Linked DNA regions of Drosophila melanogaster. The protein of the gene in region 1 interacts with the protein of each later gene in a pairwise test. Each region holds a gene or a part of one and is shown in the gene's direction. Other genes may lie near its edges.

Region 1 (7,757 bases):
CTTCTTGACGAACTCGAGGAACGCTTCGGCTGAACGCTGTCCTCGGTATTCGCGCTTGCTGAGCTGCCCATTGCGTACAATTTTCAATGTTGGATACTTGTTTATGTGGAAACGGGACGCGATGGCCGTTTCCTTGTCGCAATCGACCTTGCCTAGCACCACTTTTCCAGCCTCTGGAAACTCCTCTTTAATCTGTAAGAGAAATTCGATTGAATGCCACGTATTTATTCGATATAAAATGTATATGAATGTATCGCATTGTTTGTAAGCTTTTACTGGCGATCCATTTGACTCACCTTATCTGCAGCTTCCGCGAATATAGGTGCTAAAATATTACTAAACCGACACCACTCCGCATAAAAATTAAGGAAAACCAATTCATTAGACGCTGCAAGAAAACAAAACGTGTTTTTAATGTAGGCACCAAATTGTGTGTAAAATTGTTGATGCGTAGAATACAACTCCGTTCAGATACTAAATATAATAACTTTTAAAAACATATATTTGGTAATATATTTATATCAATATTGAATTACGGGTTTATGTATTAATAATTTAAATGCATATGTATTTTTATGGAATATATTTAAATTTGTCGCTGAATATACATATTAAAGTCAAGAAATTTCTAGCATCCTACTATTCCATAACTTCCGAAAGTTAAAATTTAAGGGGTGCAAGCCTAAGGCCAGGCTTTACTGTAAAAGTTAACGTTTGGATAATAAAAAAAAATAACTTTAAAAAAACAATATAGTATTACCGCAGGATTGTGTACAGGACACACCGTATAAAAAGGACCTATTCATGCAAAGACCAAACTTCGGACATTCTGAGCAAAGAACTGCCGACCAATGGCTAGTGCCCATTTTGGCGGACTATCGGACCGATGCAGCATGAAATATAAACCGCCCTAATTAAGTTTTATCCAAATTCCACACCTTGTCCTTTACGAAAGCGCATAAAACTTATTTTACCACGTTGGCAGTGCCGAATTGAGCGAGCCAGTGATTTTGTTTAGTGACACGTCAATGGGACAAGTCGGCTAATTGATTCCCGCTCACGCTGGCAGCGGGAATGGCATGGGGATGACTGTGATGGTTATGGTATGGGCATATCTCACCTAGGGTCATATCGATATTATCACTGGTCATGGGCACGGCTCCGGCGGCATCGGCCGGCTGTGTGTACTGGAGTAGCTGTAGAATCTGTAAATTCCATAGGATGTCAGTTCTGGTTAGTTAGTTATTTGGTTAGGGGGAGCCAAAAAAAAGCCGGGGCTGTCTGGCCGGCCCCTCCCCACTGTTTCCCCGCCCGCTGATCGAGCGGGTGAGCCACTCCAGTGACCAGCAACATGACCAGACAGAACGGAACACGTCGACTCACCGCAACTAGGGCCACACACGGCCCAAGCTTTCCGATTCCGATTCTGGCTCCAAACATTCTTGTTCGGCTTCCGAATGGCGAATGCGGCTGGCGAGGAGTGGGCGTAGAATTGCGTGCACCGGCGGAGAGTCCAAGCGATCGGTTCTCTTTTTTTCTGATTTCAGTTACACATCAGCTGGAATGGAATGCAAACGTACGCACAATTATTAAGTTTTACAAATTTTTGGTTGATTTTATCGGCTGGCCAGTGTTGGTTAGTCTCGAATGCACATCTCATCGGCAATCGAGTAACGATAGCTTAGTCACATGACTTGGCCATCGCTAACAGCAGCGATAACAGCGATAGCAGCAAACAACGATAGCAATTTCAATGGAAATGAAACAAAAAGTGTCTAAATGAATACATATGCATACATATGTATGTGCAACAACATTTGCAAATCTTTGTTTATAATAGCTGACGCTTATGGATTTTATGGTGGTAAATAGAGCGAGAAAATCTAGAAGCCAAGCGCGTTTTCAATTCGGCAATACGTTTTGAGCTAAATACCCCGAAAAGTCTGCTGAGCGAACGGTTTGTGGAATCCAAAAACCAAATGTGTGTGCATACATATGTACGATTGTAATGTGTTATTGTTGCTCCCCGAAATATCGAAACACAAACATACCTACATAGACAAATATACATATGAGTTTATGCAAACATACACATGCGTAAATGTTTAATTACTTTGTTTATGACAACATACACGGCCATTAGAATACGTTGAGTACGATAATCGGCCATTTTTCGCCTATTGGCTATGAAATCGTGATAATCTAGTCTATTGGTATATATGTGCGTGCGTATGTAATGCAGCGACACACAAATATGTGCATACTATATATTGCGCACCTTGTGGAACTGCAACTGTGTGTGCTCACATAAATGTATGTTCATTGTACATTGTACATCCATACGTGCATATATATGCAGTGCATTATCTATATTGCCACCACGACACTCAAAAACTCAAATATTAACTTCGATTTGTTCTAAAAGTGTTGATTGTGCCCAATTTATCATCCCAGTGACATTTATTTGGCTTTGTTTGTGCACTGCTTAATGCACATGCACATATGTGCATAGTATTATTTATTTATTTATGGGAGCCACTATACTATACGTATCGAATCGTCCCAATAACATCGCACACACACTGTTGTGCGTAATTATGTATTCGGATGGTGGATATAAGAGATATATGCACTTATAAGCGATAACCGGATTTCCAATGACACCCAAATCGCCTTGCCTAAATATAAGCAAATAAGTAATTTCGAATACGTTACATGTTAAGTATTCTTTTAGCCGATTCACACAATGTCCGATGGATCACCGCCTCCATCGATTTGCTTTATCCGTGCCGCCGAATCGTATCCAAAGTCACAAATGGAGAAGGAAGACTCCCAGCTGTTCGTCCCGTTTCAAGAGTGTAGGTGTTCCCCCATATGCTGTAACCGATAACACATGCTAATCTATAGTATATATACCACTAGTGGCCGGCGAATCGATTAAGTACCTGGGGCGCACGGATGATGGTATCCTCGCCCTGTCCAATTATCGGATATTCCTTTCCAAGCAGTCAACCGGCTACGAGACCTACGTTCCATTGGGATTAATCGAATCCGTACAGGTGCGAGATCTGTTCCAGCTGATTGTCAATTGTAAGGATGCCAGCACTGTGCGCTGCTCCTTTCCGTCGGCGGAACAGTGCTCCGACTGGCAGCGCCGGATCCATCTGATGATCGGGGTTCCCGAGTCACTGGAGACACTCTTCGCCTTTCCCTTCTACTCCTGGACCTGCGATGTGCTCGGAAGTGGCAATGGAAGCGGTATCGTTAGCGCCCAGGCCAACGGAAACGGCCTGATTGCCAAGGATCGTTGCCTAACGCTACACAATGGCTTGGCAAAGCCAACAGCCAACGTCACAGCGTCGAATCCTCTGCCCGATCCTGCCAGCGAGACCATCTCAGCCGCCATGAGCAATCGCCTGCAACGATCAGTGCGCTATGAAAGCGACTTTAAGAACGAGGTTGCCCGCTTGGGATTCGATCTGAAGGGCTCGTGGCGCATCTCCACGGCCAATGCCGATTTTAAGCTCTGTCCCTCGTATCCACCCAAATTGCTTGTGCCCTGCTGTATCACCGATGAGATGCTCCACAACGTGGCCAACTTCCGGGGATCACGAAGGCTGCCGGCTGTCGTCTGGCGGCACCAAAAGTCGGGTGCCATCTTGGCCCGATGCAGCCAGCCGGAGGTCGGTTGGCTCGGCTGGCGCAACACAAGGGACGAGCAGCTACTCAAGGCACTCGCCGATGCCTGTGCCTTTGACAGGGGCGAGCACGCCAGGCATTCCACCTGCGCCAATGCAAAGGCGCAACCAACAAAGGGCTCCAAGGAGACCAACGGCCAGTCGGGCTTATCCGGCAAGAGTTCACCATCTCTGGACGATTCCTCGCATGAGGAACTCACGCTGGATGAAATCAAGGTAAGTTTATTACCAAAATAGCCGGGTATTCTTGAAATGAAGGTTTCAGTTACCATATAAGAAAACATTCATGAATAATTATCATAAATTACTTAACACGGAGCAGTAAAATGATGTCAAAACCGCCAAGTGCTAATGAAATAATTTGATCATTGCTCTTAAATTGTATTTGCTTTCAGAAAATCCTCATTGTGGATGCTCGCAGCTACACCTCCGCAGTTACAAATCGTGCCAGAGGTGGCGGCTGTGAGTGCATCGAGTACTATCCCTGTGCAGAGATTGAGTTTATGAACTTGGGCAACATCCACGCCATTCGAAAGAGTTTCCACGCTGTCCGACAGCTATGCGCGTCATCCCCCGATGATCCAAAGTAAGTTTACTAGCTGATTATTAAAGATATATATATATTTATGTAATGGAATCATATTCTTGCAGCTGGTACGGACAACTGGAAAAGACCATGTGGATGCAGCACCTGTCGGGTCTGCTGGGAGCCACCATGACCGTTGTGCACACCATCGAGAAGAATGGACGACCCGTCCTTGTACATTGCTCAGACGGTTGGGATCGCACTCCACAGATCGTGGCCACGGCGCAATTATGTTTGGATCCCTACTACAGAACGGTTGAGGTACGTTGATATACATCAACATTTGTGTTCTATGGACTAATACTCTACCTACTTGCTTGTATTTGCAGGGGTTCCGCGTTCTTGTCGAGCGTGAATGGCTGAACTTTGGACACAAATTCGCCGATCGCTCTGGAAATGGTCCCAATTCCGATGAAGTTAACGAGCGATGTCCAGTTTTTCTGCAGTGGCTTGATCTTGTGCATCAAATACACAGGCAGTATCCATGCAGTTTTGAGTTTAGTATAAGCTATTTGGTAAGTGGTGGCATGGAATTTCGCACGGAGTTGTGCACATTAACTCCTTGTTATATGCATTCTTTTTAGATCAAACTGGCGCAACATTCGTTGTCCTGTCTCTTCGGCACGTTCCTATGTAATTCGCTCAGAGAACGCATCGAGAATTCAGTTTTCGACCGAACGTTTTCCGTGTGGCCATTTTTAGCGGAAACTATGTATAGAAATCCTCTCTATAAGCATGAGACTGAAAAGGTGGTTAATAACTTGATATATGCTGTCAGCCTAAAGGAGAATGCTAATGATTTTTGTGTTTTTTTTTTTAGGTTCTTTGGCCAGCGCACAGTGTGCGGTTTTTATATTTTTGGTCTGATGTATACCTTGGTAGTTTAGGCAACAAAAATGGAACTGATCTACCATTACTAAGTAATGAAAGACAGAGCGGACACAATGGTGAGTTGAGTAGAGTACTCCTAATTGAAATTGACTCACTTTTTACTCCTTACTGCCACAACCAATAGGCCTCATGGCGAAGACACGATCTTCTGAAGACTTAACAACGAATGAGTTGGGACAGAGCACCATTTCCAGGAGGTCCAGTGATCCCAACCTGACCGTTGAATCCATGTAGGTCAACTGAAGATTATTTGATCCGGCAGCAAAATGAATTTCGTTCTTTTCCCTACGATTCAGTGTTACAGATTGTTTCAATGCCAATAGCAACTCGATGTTTGACATACGATCCGAGGCCAACAACAGTGTTAGCGAAAATGTCCAAGAAAGTGTTAAAGACTCCAAAGAAGTAGAGCTGGACGTGACGGATGCAACTGAAGTAGGTCCATGTGGCCGTTCAAATAATCCCATTCCAGATTTCCATAACGACCAAAGTACAGCTTCTAAACGTGATATATTGGAAGTGGAATCACAAACGCAAAGGCGAAGTTCCTTGGAGTCCTCACAGCTGATCCCTGGGTCTGTCTTCATTTTTGGCTCATCCGAAAACGGTAAAAGATGTTAGGATAAAGCAAAAGAACTTAACTAAACTTAACTACCTTAATGGTTTTAGATAAAAATGCAGTTCCTTCGGAATCTGAAGAATCCTTGGCGACCTCACAGAAACTGAACTCTGAATCTGGGCGACCTTTTTTCATATTTGGTTCATCCGAAAACGGTAAGAGATGTTAGAATGAAGAATAGAATGAATACGTTACATTAACTATCTTAATGATTTCAGATCAAAGTCCAGTTCCTTTAAAATCTGAAGACACAAGTGATATTTCTCGCGCCCTGTGGCATGGCGCAATTGAAACCAGCACTGATACCCTTATTCCTGCGGAGCCCGTACAAAAACCAAACAGCGACAATAGCAGTAGAGATCACATAACATCCCCCACAATGGAACTGGTCAGTGGTGATAGAAAGCTGGAGTCGACTAGCACTGTCCAAGCCAGTAAAATCAGTCAGAGCTACAATAATTTGCCCAAGGTACACATAAGACCGAATGCCGTTATATGCCCGCAGCGGGTAGACGCTTTTCCCCATCACCTGGACCTACAAGTGCCAAGGGAGACGACGGGAAATCCGGACCGTTGCAAGCCGGAAAAGTTAGCCAAAGATGCAAATGCGAATGCCAATGCCAACGGATCCCTGCTGGCATCCGATGGCTACAACGGCGAGGAAAGTCTCTTTATATCACCCGACCTTCAGCGGTTCGTGGGCCAGTCGCCATTCGATGCTCCCTCGACGGGCGGACGAATACGGCGAAATACCTTCGGCTCGAGCTACAGTCGCGATATGAAGTTCACGGCTGAAAATGGCAGGTGAGTTGTGTGTACTTTCTCACTGGTGGCATCTCCCATTGGACTGAATCAAAAAAAAAAAAAACTCTACTTTCAGCGCACACCAATTTCCGTCGTCGGGGATCATTTCGTTGCCCCCAACACCATTTCAGGAGAGGGCTCAGTTCACTATATCCTGTCCAGATGGCCTGGCTCACGGACTCAGCGAACAAAACATAAGACTCCACCAAATCGTACAAGAACACAAGGTGAGCTCCGGTGCAAAAGCAGTTTTCATTATAGTCATTTTAATCACATACACTATTTCAGCTACGTGAGGAAATGCTACTGCGAGAAATACACGGTATGCGACTGGCTCTGTTGGAAAAAGGTTGCCCCAGCTGCAACAGCATCGTTTCGACAAATATGGAACATGTAAATAATGATCGTTTAAGATACAAAATGCGTGCATATATTCTTGAAAAGCGTGGTTAATGTTAGTTATAGACCCTCGGTGCAAAGTGACTGCCCAATTTGTTTAAAACATGGGCCTTGGTCTTTGGATTCTCACAGTGCATATTCTGTAAAATATGAATTTGTTTCATCCTTAAATCACCAGAGCGCGAAGTGGTGGTGGTGTTTCAATCAGGGGCAATACTCTGCCATCTAATCATAAGTTACAATGTGCATTAACTGTCAGTCGTCTAATTATTTAACTCTTCTCTAGGAAAATGGATCGGATATCGTTGAAAATGCTTCAACATGTTCCTGGGAGGCCGTCGAAGAACGTAGTGGTCCCGCCTCGTATGCCCCTTCCTCGATTCAAGAGAAAAAAGCCTCCAGTGTCCTCTGGGTGCCAGACCATGCAGTTTCGCGTTGCTCTAGTTGTCAAACTGAGTTCTGGCTTGGACGAAGAAAACATCATTGTCGGTGCGCATCCAACACTTGAAACCTTAATGATTTACTCTTAAAAGATTTTTAATATGTATGATTTTCGACTTGAGTTGAATATTACCATTTTTAGCGATACAAAATTCCTAGACCTTAAATGTCAGTAACTAAGACTCGAGTACCTTCTTTATGACTGTGCAATATTACGATTAAATTTGACTATTCAATTTCTTTTCCTAAAGCTCATATTCAACTTGAGTTGAAAGCGTGTTATAATTTTCTTACTTTACTGGGATACATGACTATACTA
Region 2 (6,235 bases), 2.9 Mb from region 1:
TTGCGTAAAGTAAATGCGAAGAAATCACCTCGAAGACCCGGCGATGGAGAATATCATGTGTAAAGGTGTATATAGAGCTGGTTCGTAAGGCACATTACGGCTAGATTGTGGATGCATCAAGTGATTGCTAATTGCGCTGATGTTGATGTTGATGGTTGATGGTTGAGAGTCCGCAGCCTTCGATGTACAGCAGCAGCCTAAGTAGATATATGTATATATAGGGTACATATAAGTGCCGGTATCAATTTTTGATTGCTAACAAATGCTTGACAATAATCCAAATGCTTAAACTTAAGAGTCCACTCGAATTTAGTGTTGAAAATCAGTTGGCTTTAAATTCAATTTGGCCGCTCGGAAGGGTATCCTAGCCACGCTGCAAAGCGAATCCCTTTCTCCTCCTCCTCTAATTGACTGAGCAATATCATAGTTTCGTTTCGTTTTCCCACCGCCTCCTCTGCTCTCCGCTACTCTCACTCTGCTTTCGATCCGGCGATCTTGCATTGAATGCAAGCACGTCCAGTCGTGTATAACTTAAACAACTAATAATCATCCGAGTGCGCCGGAGGAGGCGTTGGAGCACCCGGTGAAGTGGCCGCCCTTGCCGCCAGCCTGTCGTCCGCGTCTTCGTCAGTCGTTGTACATGCCGTCCACCAGGAAGTCCATGCGACGGTAGTGCCTGGTGCTCCACATGTCGCGGAAGCGGCGGTACATGATGGTCACCACGCCGATGGCCAGCGGAACGGTCAGCAGCACGGTAACAATGGGTACCACATACCCGTTCTCTCCGTGATCGGCAAGATTACTTCCAGTAAGCCCCTGCACCAATGGCTCTGGTGGTGTGGCCAATGGCTGGGTGGGAGCGCCCTTTGTACCTGGCTTATCCTGACTCTTTTCCAGCTCCGCCATATCCTCCCCCTCCTGGTGTATATCAGTGCTCAATACCACTGGGGGCTTCTTCGGCTTTGGCGTGGTTGCGATGATGGTTGAATTGACAGTTTTGGTGGTGGCTGTGGCGGTGTGGGTGCTGTTGGTCGGGGATATTGCCGCGCCGTTGGTGGACGAGTTGCTCGGCTTGGTGACATCCTTCATGGACTGGCCCTCGGTGACTATGGCTGATCCTGCAGCTGGCTTTGCCGTGGTGGTGGTGGTCGTGGTGGAAGAAGTTGTAGTGGAGGTCGTATTGGTCGCCTCCTTGGCCGCCTTTTGCTCCACAGCCGGCTTGGAAGTGACCAAAGGAATGGTGGGCACTCCTGTATCGGTGTTTGTGAGATTTTTGGCTTTACCTGCATTTTCTGCTGTGGCCGTTTTGTTTAAGTTCTTGTCCTGTTGCAACACAGCTGCATCCTTACCCGGCACCAGCTGGCTGGCAGCTCCCGGAGATCCAGATTCCAATTTCGATCCTGGAATAACTTTGGCCTGCAGCACGTTCGTCGCATTGGCCACCACTGGGGCGTCCTTGGTGGCGGAGTTAGCTGTCTGCTTCTGCTGGCCTGAGACCAGGACCAAGATGCTCAGCAGCCACAGCATATAGAGCAGCTTCATTGTCGTCTGATTTCTTATTCTTATAAGAGTGAAACGTCGCGTCGCTTCTATTCATTTAGTTGCACAAGTGATGCACCATCGAGAGCTTATCGATAACAGTCGACAGTGTTGGGCGTTTTGGTTTGAAACAGGTGAAAAACGTGTATCAAGTTAAAACAAAATTCGGTATAGAAAGAGAATTTGTTTTATTGTTTTCAGGAAGAACTTGACAAATGTTATGAGCAAATTTTAATGAGCAAACAAACGAAATCTGTTTGACCTACTGTGTGTCGTTAGTTGGAAAAAAAAATTTGTAAAATTTGATTACATATATATGGTTACAGAATTAGTGCAGTAAATTATTTTTGAACAAAAAAACAGAAATTCGTAAAAATAAATAATAGAAACGTTGCAAATATCTTTTTGTCTACACAAACTTTACCGAGTGGTGGCAACGCTGTCGCACCAGCGACCAGTCTGCTGACGTTGCCACTTTCCAGCTGAGCCTATCCGTGTTTGCTTGCGTGTGTGTGTATTTGTGGTGCGTGCGTGGGTCTGGCGCATTAAATTTGGATTTTACTCCGATTTGGACCTGACCTGGATTCGGAACTCGGACCACGATGATGATGCGACCGGAGCTGACGCTGGCCGGCCTCCTGCTGCTCTGCGCCACTGGCGCCAGCGCCTGGCACTCGGAGGAACTGGAGATCTTTGACTTGGTCGAGGAGGTAAACCGCAACTTCTACGAGTTCATGGGCATCAACCAAACGGCAACGGGCGCCGAGGTGAAGCGCGCCTTCCGCACCCTGTCCATTGTCCTGCATCCGGACAAGAATCCGGCCGAGGATGCCAACATCCAGTTCCGCAACCTCGTTTCCATCTACGAGGTTCTCAAAGATCCGTCGCGCCGAGAGAAGTACGACCGGGTACTGAAGGAGGGCATGCCCAACTGGAAGTCTGCCCTCTACTATTACCGACGTATGCGCAAGATCGGGCTCTATGAGGGCGCCTTTATCCTCTTCCTGATAACCACCGTGGGCCAGTATCTATTCGCCTGGGCGGCCTACCTCGAGAAGAAGTACACCGCCGAACAGGTCTTTGGCACCAAGCTGAAGAAGCTGCAGAAGAAGAACAAGAACATCGACATGGACGTGATCCTTAGCGAGATACCGATGCCCTCGCTACTCAACACCCTGCCCATCCAGATCCCCTTGGCCCTGTGGAACCTGCCGCGCACCATCAAGAACGGATTCAGCAAGGCCAACGAGCTAAAGGAACTCGCCCTGGAGAAGCGCAGGCAGTAAGTGGCAGGGTTCTATTGCTTACCTTACGTTTTTACGTTATTATAGCGCCTTGTTCCATTGTAGTCATTTTGGAGTTGTAGGATTTTGCTATTTCATTAAGTTTCTATATCGAGAGGTCCTGGCAGCGGAAGGATTATTATTTTGCGACCTTGTGCTCGGAGTTTTGGCAGACCTCTCTTACTTTAGTCTTCAATATCTTAGTATATAGAGCAACAAAAGAATATAATTCTAGTTTTGTATTGCATCAGGTTTTGATAACTTACATTGCCACTCTTATCGTTAATTCGCTGTGGTTTCTGTATGTTCATTGCATGCAGAGTGATATCATTTAATATTAAAAGTTGGTTAGTTTCTCATTTCTCAGTTGAAATTTTGGTCATAGCCTTTAGTTAGCATTTTATATTCACAAGCTAGAACAATTCTTCTAAATATAGGCAATTCAATTAAGAAACAAAGAAAGAAAACGATATGTCACCATGCAAACACATTTTATGCTTTCCAAAAAAGGTGCTCATGAGTGCACCTTAAGATGACTTGCACCATTAGATAGGTTCCAAAGAAGGAATATTGTCAGTCTTTGTGTCGCACGATAATCAAATGAAACTGAGCATTCTTGATATGACCACAGATAAGGTACTAAAATTCGATTAGCGTAGAATAGCTAACAAGCTAACAAAAATCGTGTGGGAACGGTATCCAAAAGTAAGAAGTAAGAAACTAATTGATTCATCCCAATTTGCATCCACAGGGAACTGGAGGCCGTCCGTCGTCAGGAGGAACTGGAACGGGAGGCCGAGGAGCAGGCGCGCCTTCGCAAGGAGCACAAGGAGAATCTGCGGAAGCGCAAGCAGAACAGCAAGGCTCCAGAGAAGACCGAGGAAGAATTGCGCGGCTATTCGCAGATTCAGACTCGCGAATTGACAGATGACGATGCAGTTCGTCCAGCTTCCCAGAAGGTATAAAGCCGACAGTATAGTGTTTCCTGTTCCCTAGTAAATTCGAAACCCTACTAATTTCATGCTTTTACTTTTAGAGCACGGTGAGCGGCGGCTTCTGGACTGACGAGGATCTTACCGAGCTGATTCGCTTGGTAAAAAAGTATCCTGGCGGAGCTGGCAGCCGCTGGAACACTATCGCCGAGTCGATGAACCGCAGCGTTCAGGAGGTGACCTTTATGGCGGCCAAGATGAAGGAGAATGGCTACCGCATTCCCGGCCAAACTGACAGCGTGGCCGAGGCTCTCGTCCAGGAGTCCCAGCAGGCGCAGCGTAAGGAAAAAGTGAAGAAGGCAGCCGCAAATGCAGGAGCTTCAGCCGAGAAGAGCATGCTAATTCCGGAGACCAACTGGACGCAAGAGCAGCAGCGCGCCCTGGAGGCGGCGATAGTCAAGTACCGGAAGACGGCCGGCGGAGACCGTTGGCAGAAGATCGCCAACAGTGTGCCGGAGAAGACCAAGGAGGAGTGCCTGGTGCGCTACAAGTATCTCTGCGAGCTGGTCAAGACGCAGAAGCGGGCCGAGGAGGAGGCCAACGAGCCGGACGAGGATGCGGCCGCCATCGAGGAAGAGCTCCCCGAGGAGGAGCCCCTTGCGCCGCCAGAACCGGAAGTGGCGCCAGCCGCCAAGAAGCTCAGCAAGCGGGAGCAGCGTCGCCGTAAGCGGGACTTATCCAGCGGCGAGGACTCGGACGATGCATATCAGTACGAGATCAGTTAGTCGGAAACCCGGCTCCCGCTCTGTCCTCCTGCTGCGGCATCTCCTCGCGTGGCTCACAACTAGATGTAATTGAATTTTTTTATACTTTGCATTAAAGACTCTCTGGCATAGCATTTTGGACCTTGCCAATCCTAATCCGCGGCCCGATCCTCTGCCCCTTCCCTGACCTTCTGTTTCCATCACCGTGTGTAGCGCTTATCTTATGTTTTGTACATAATTCTATATTGTAAACATCTAAATGTCGATTAATTCCTTTGCTAAGTAAACGAAATGTAAGAGGAAGTGAATAGGATAAGAGTTTTTGATGGGTTTCTGTCAGGGATAAAGCCATCGATGATAGATACGGTGTACTTCCAGGTTAGTAACTAATAAAATAAACATCAAAAGTAACAGAACTTGACAAAGTTAGTAGGTGCAACAGCATAGCCACTACATATACATAAATCATAGAAGCATTAAATACATTCATACAATATTAAATCAATTTATTATGTACACAAACGCGAATGGTTAATTATTATTATTGCCTTTCTAAACCGCCATTCGCAAAACGTATCTTTTATGTCAATTGCAGCTTTAAAGCCATCAAAGTCAAGCGCTAACCAATTATAATTCCCAGTTGGCTTGAACCTGTCAGCCGATCAAAGAGAAGTTTCCCTTTCAGATTTATTATTAATCAAAACTAAGTTAAGCACTTTCGGCGGTTCTTGACGATTTTTGGAAGCCCGCGACTAATCAAAGATACCAATTCATTATTAATGTGGCTGGCAGGCGGATTATTATGGGGTTGTGTGTGTGCGGATAACCTTGGAACGATTGGCTTTTAATTACGCTCGCCTTACATTTGATGATTATTGGACTATGACTGTGACTCTGAACGGCGTCAACTCCTCGCTTTTGGTTGCCCAGTCCGGTTGGATTGCTTATGGCCAACTCGATGCGTTGCCTCCTCCCAATTTGGTCACCCATCGAGTTTGCATTGAACTTAAAACGCTTGTGCACTAGAATCACCAGACTGCGTCAACAAGACCCACAACCAAGATCCAAGACTCCAAACTCTAGACTCCGCGAACTCAAGTGTAGGCGCAGCAGAGCTCGTCAGACTGTCCACCACGAAAGCTGGTTGAATTCGCTTGGATGACAACTGGAAAACGAATTGCGAATTGAACTTCCAGCTGAATGCTCTTTGCTTTGTAGACGAAGGAACTTTCTTAAAAGTTTGATTAAAATCTATTAGTTATATAATAACATGCACTTTTCACACAATACAAGTTTGCTTTATGACATTTATTGAAAATAATTACCTTACAACATAAAAGTTGCGATTTGGATAAATGTATGCATTGTACATAAAATAGAAAAATATAATTAAAAGACAATAATAATGTTGTAATTATATTTTCATCATGTATGTTTATATGTACACATATCTACTATAAATATACTCGTATTAAAATTTGAAAAAATGTAGCTTGCATTTTTGTTCGTTCGTTGACTTAAATTCAAATAAGAGATATAATAAATATTCAAATATATATATCTTATATCTTATTTCTGAACAATTAAACTTACAAAATATATTTTTTTAATTTTCCACTTTTAATTAAGGGTCGTTTTGATCACTTTCAGTTAAGTCATACTTGGAGTTACTTTTTAATTAACCCTTTGGAACTGATGCTAATGGAAATTCGTTGGA

What was found. The genes of interacting proteins can lie anywhere in the genome.
Region 2: the proteins of CG3632 (region 1) and CG7556 interact in a two-hybrid assay, tested with the Drosophila melanogaster proteins (one large-scale study listed by BioGRID).

What each region holds. Positions count from the first base shown.
Region 1 is NC_004354.4:16,294,927-16,302,683, forward strand, and holds the start of CG3632 (uncharacterized protein), read left to right. Parts: upstream 1-1,744; 5' UTR 1,745-1,849; coding exon 1,850-1,864; exon of another isoform or gene 1,865-1,981; intron 1,982-2,156; exon of another isoform or gene 2,157-2,313; intron 2,314-2,715; exon of another isoform or gene 2,716-2,734; coding exon 2,735-2,858; intron 2,859-2,922; coding exon 2,923-3,914; intron 3,915-4,093; coding exon 4,094-4,284; intron 4,285-4,349; coding exon 4,350-4,545; intron 4,546-4,613; coding exon 4,614-4,799; intron 4,800-4,868; coding exon 4,869-5,033; intron 5,034-5,104; coding exon 5,105-5,231; intron 5,232-5,299; coding exon 5,300-5,405; intron 5,406-5,471; coding exon 5,472-5,782; intron 5,783-5,844; coding exon 5,845-5,949; intron 5,950-6,012; coding exon 6,013-6,598; intron 6,599-6,674; coding exon 6,675-6,825; intron 6,826-6,886; coding exon 6,887-6,991; intron 6,992-7,283; coding exon 7,284-7,486; intron 7,487-7,757. Other genes in the region: ERp44 (endoplasmic reticulum protein 44), read right to left, coding at 1-192, 297-388, 1,121-1,205, 1,384-1,440.
Region 2 is NC_004354.4:19,175,586-19,181,820, reverse strand, and holds CG7556 (uncharacterized protein), read left to right. Parts: upstream 1-1,990; 5' UTR 1,991-2,141; coding exon 2,142-2,821; intron 2,822-3,573; coding exon 3,574-3,781; intron 3,782-3,858; coding exon 3,859-4,539; 3' UTR 4,540-5,712; downstream 5,713-6,235. Other genes in the region: CG7453 (uncharacterized protein), read right to left, coding at 628-1,542.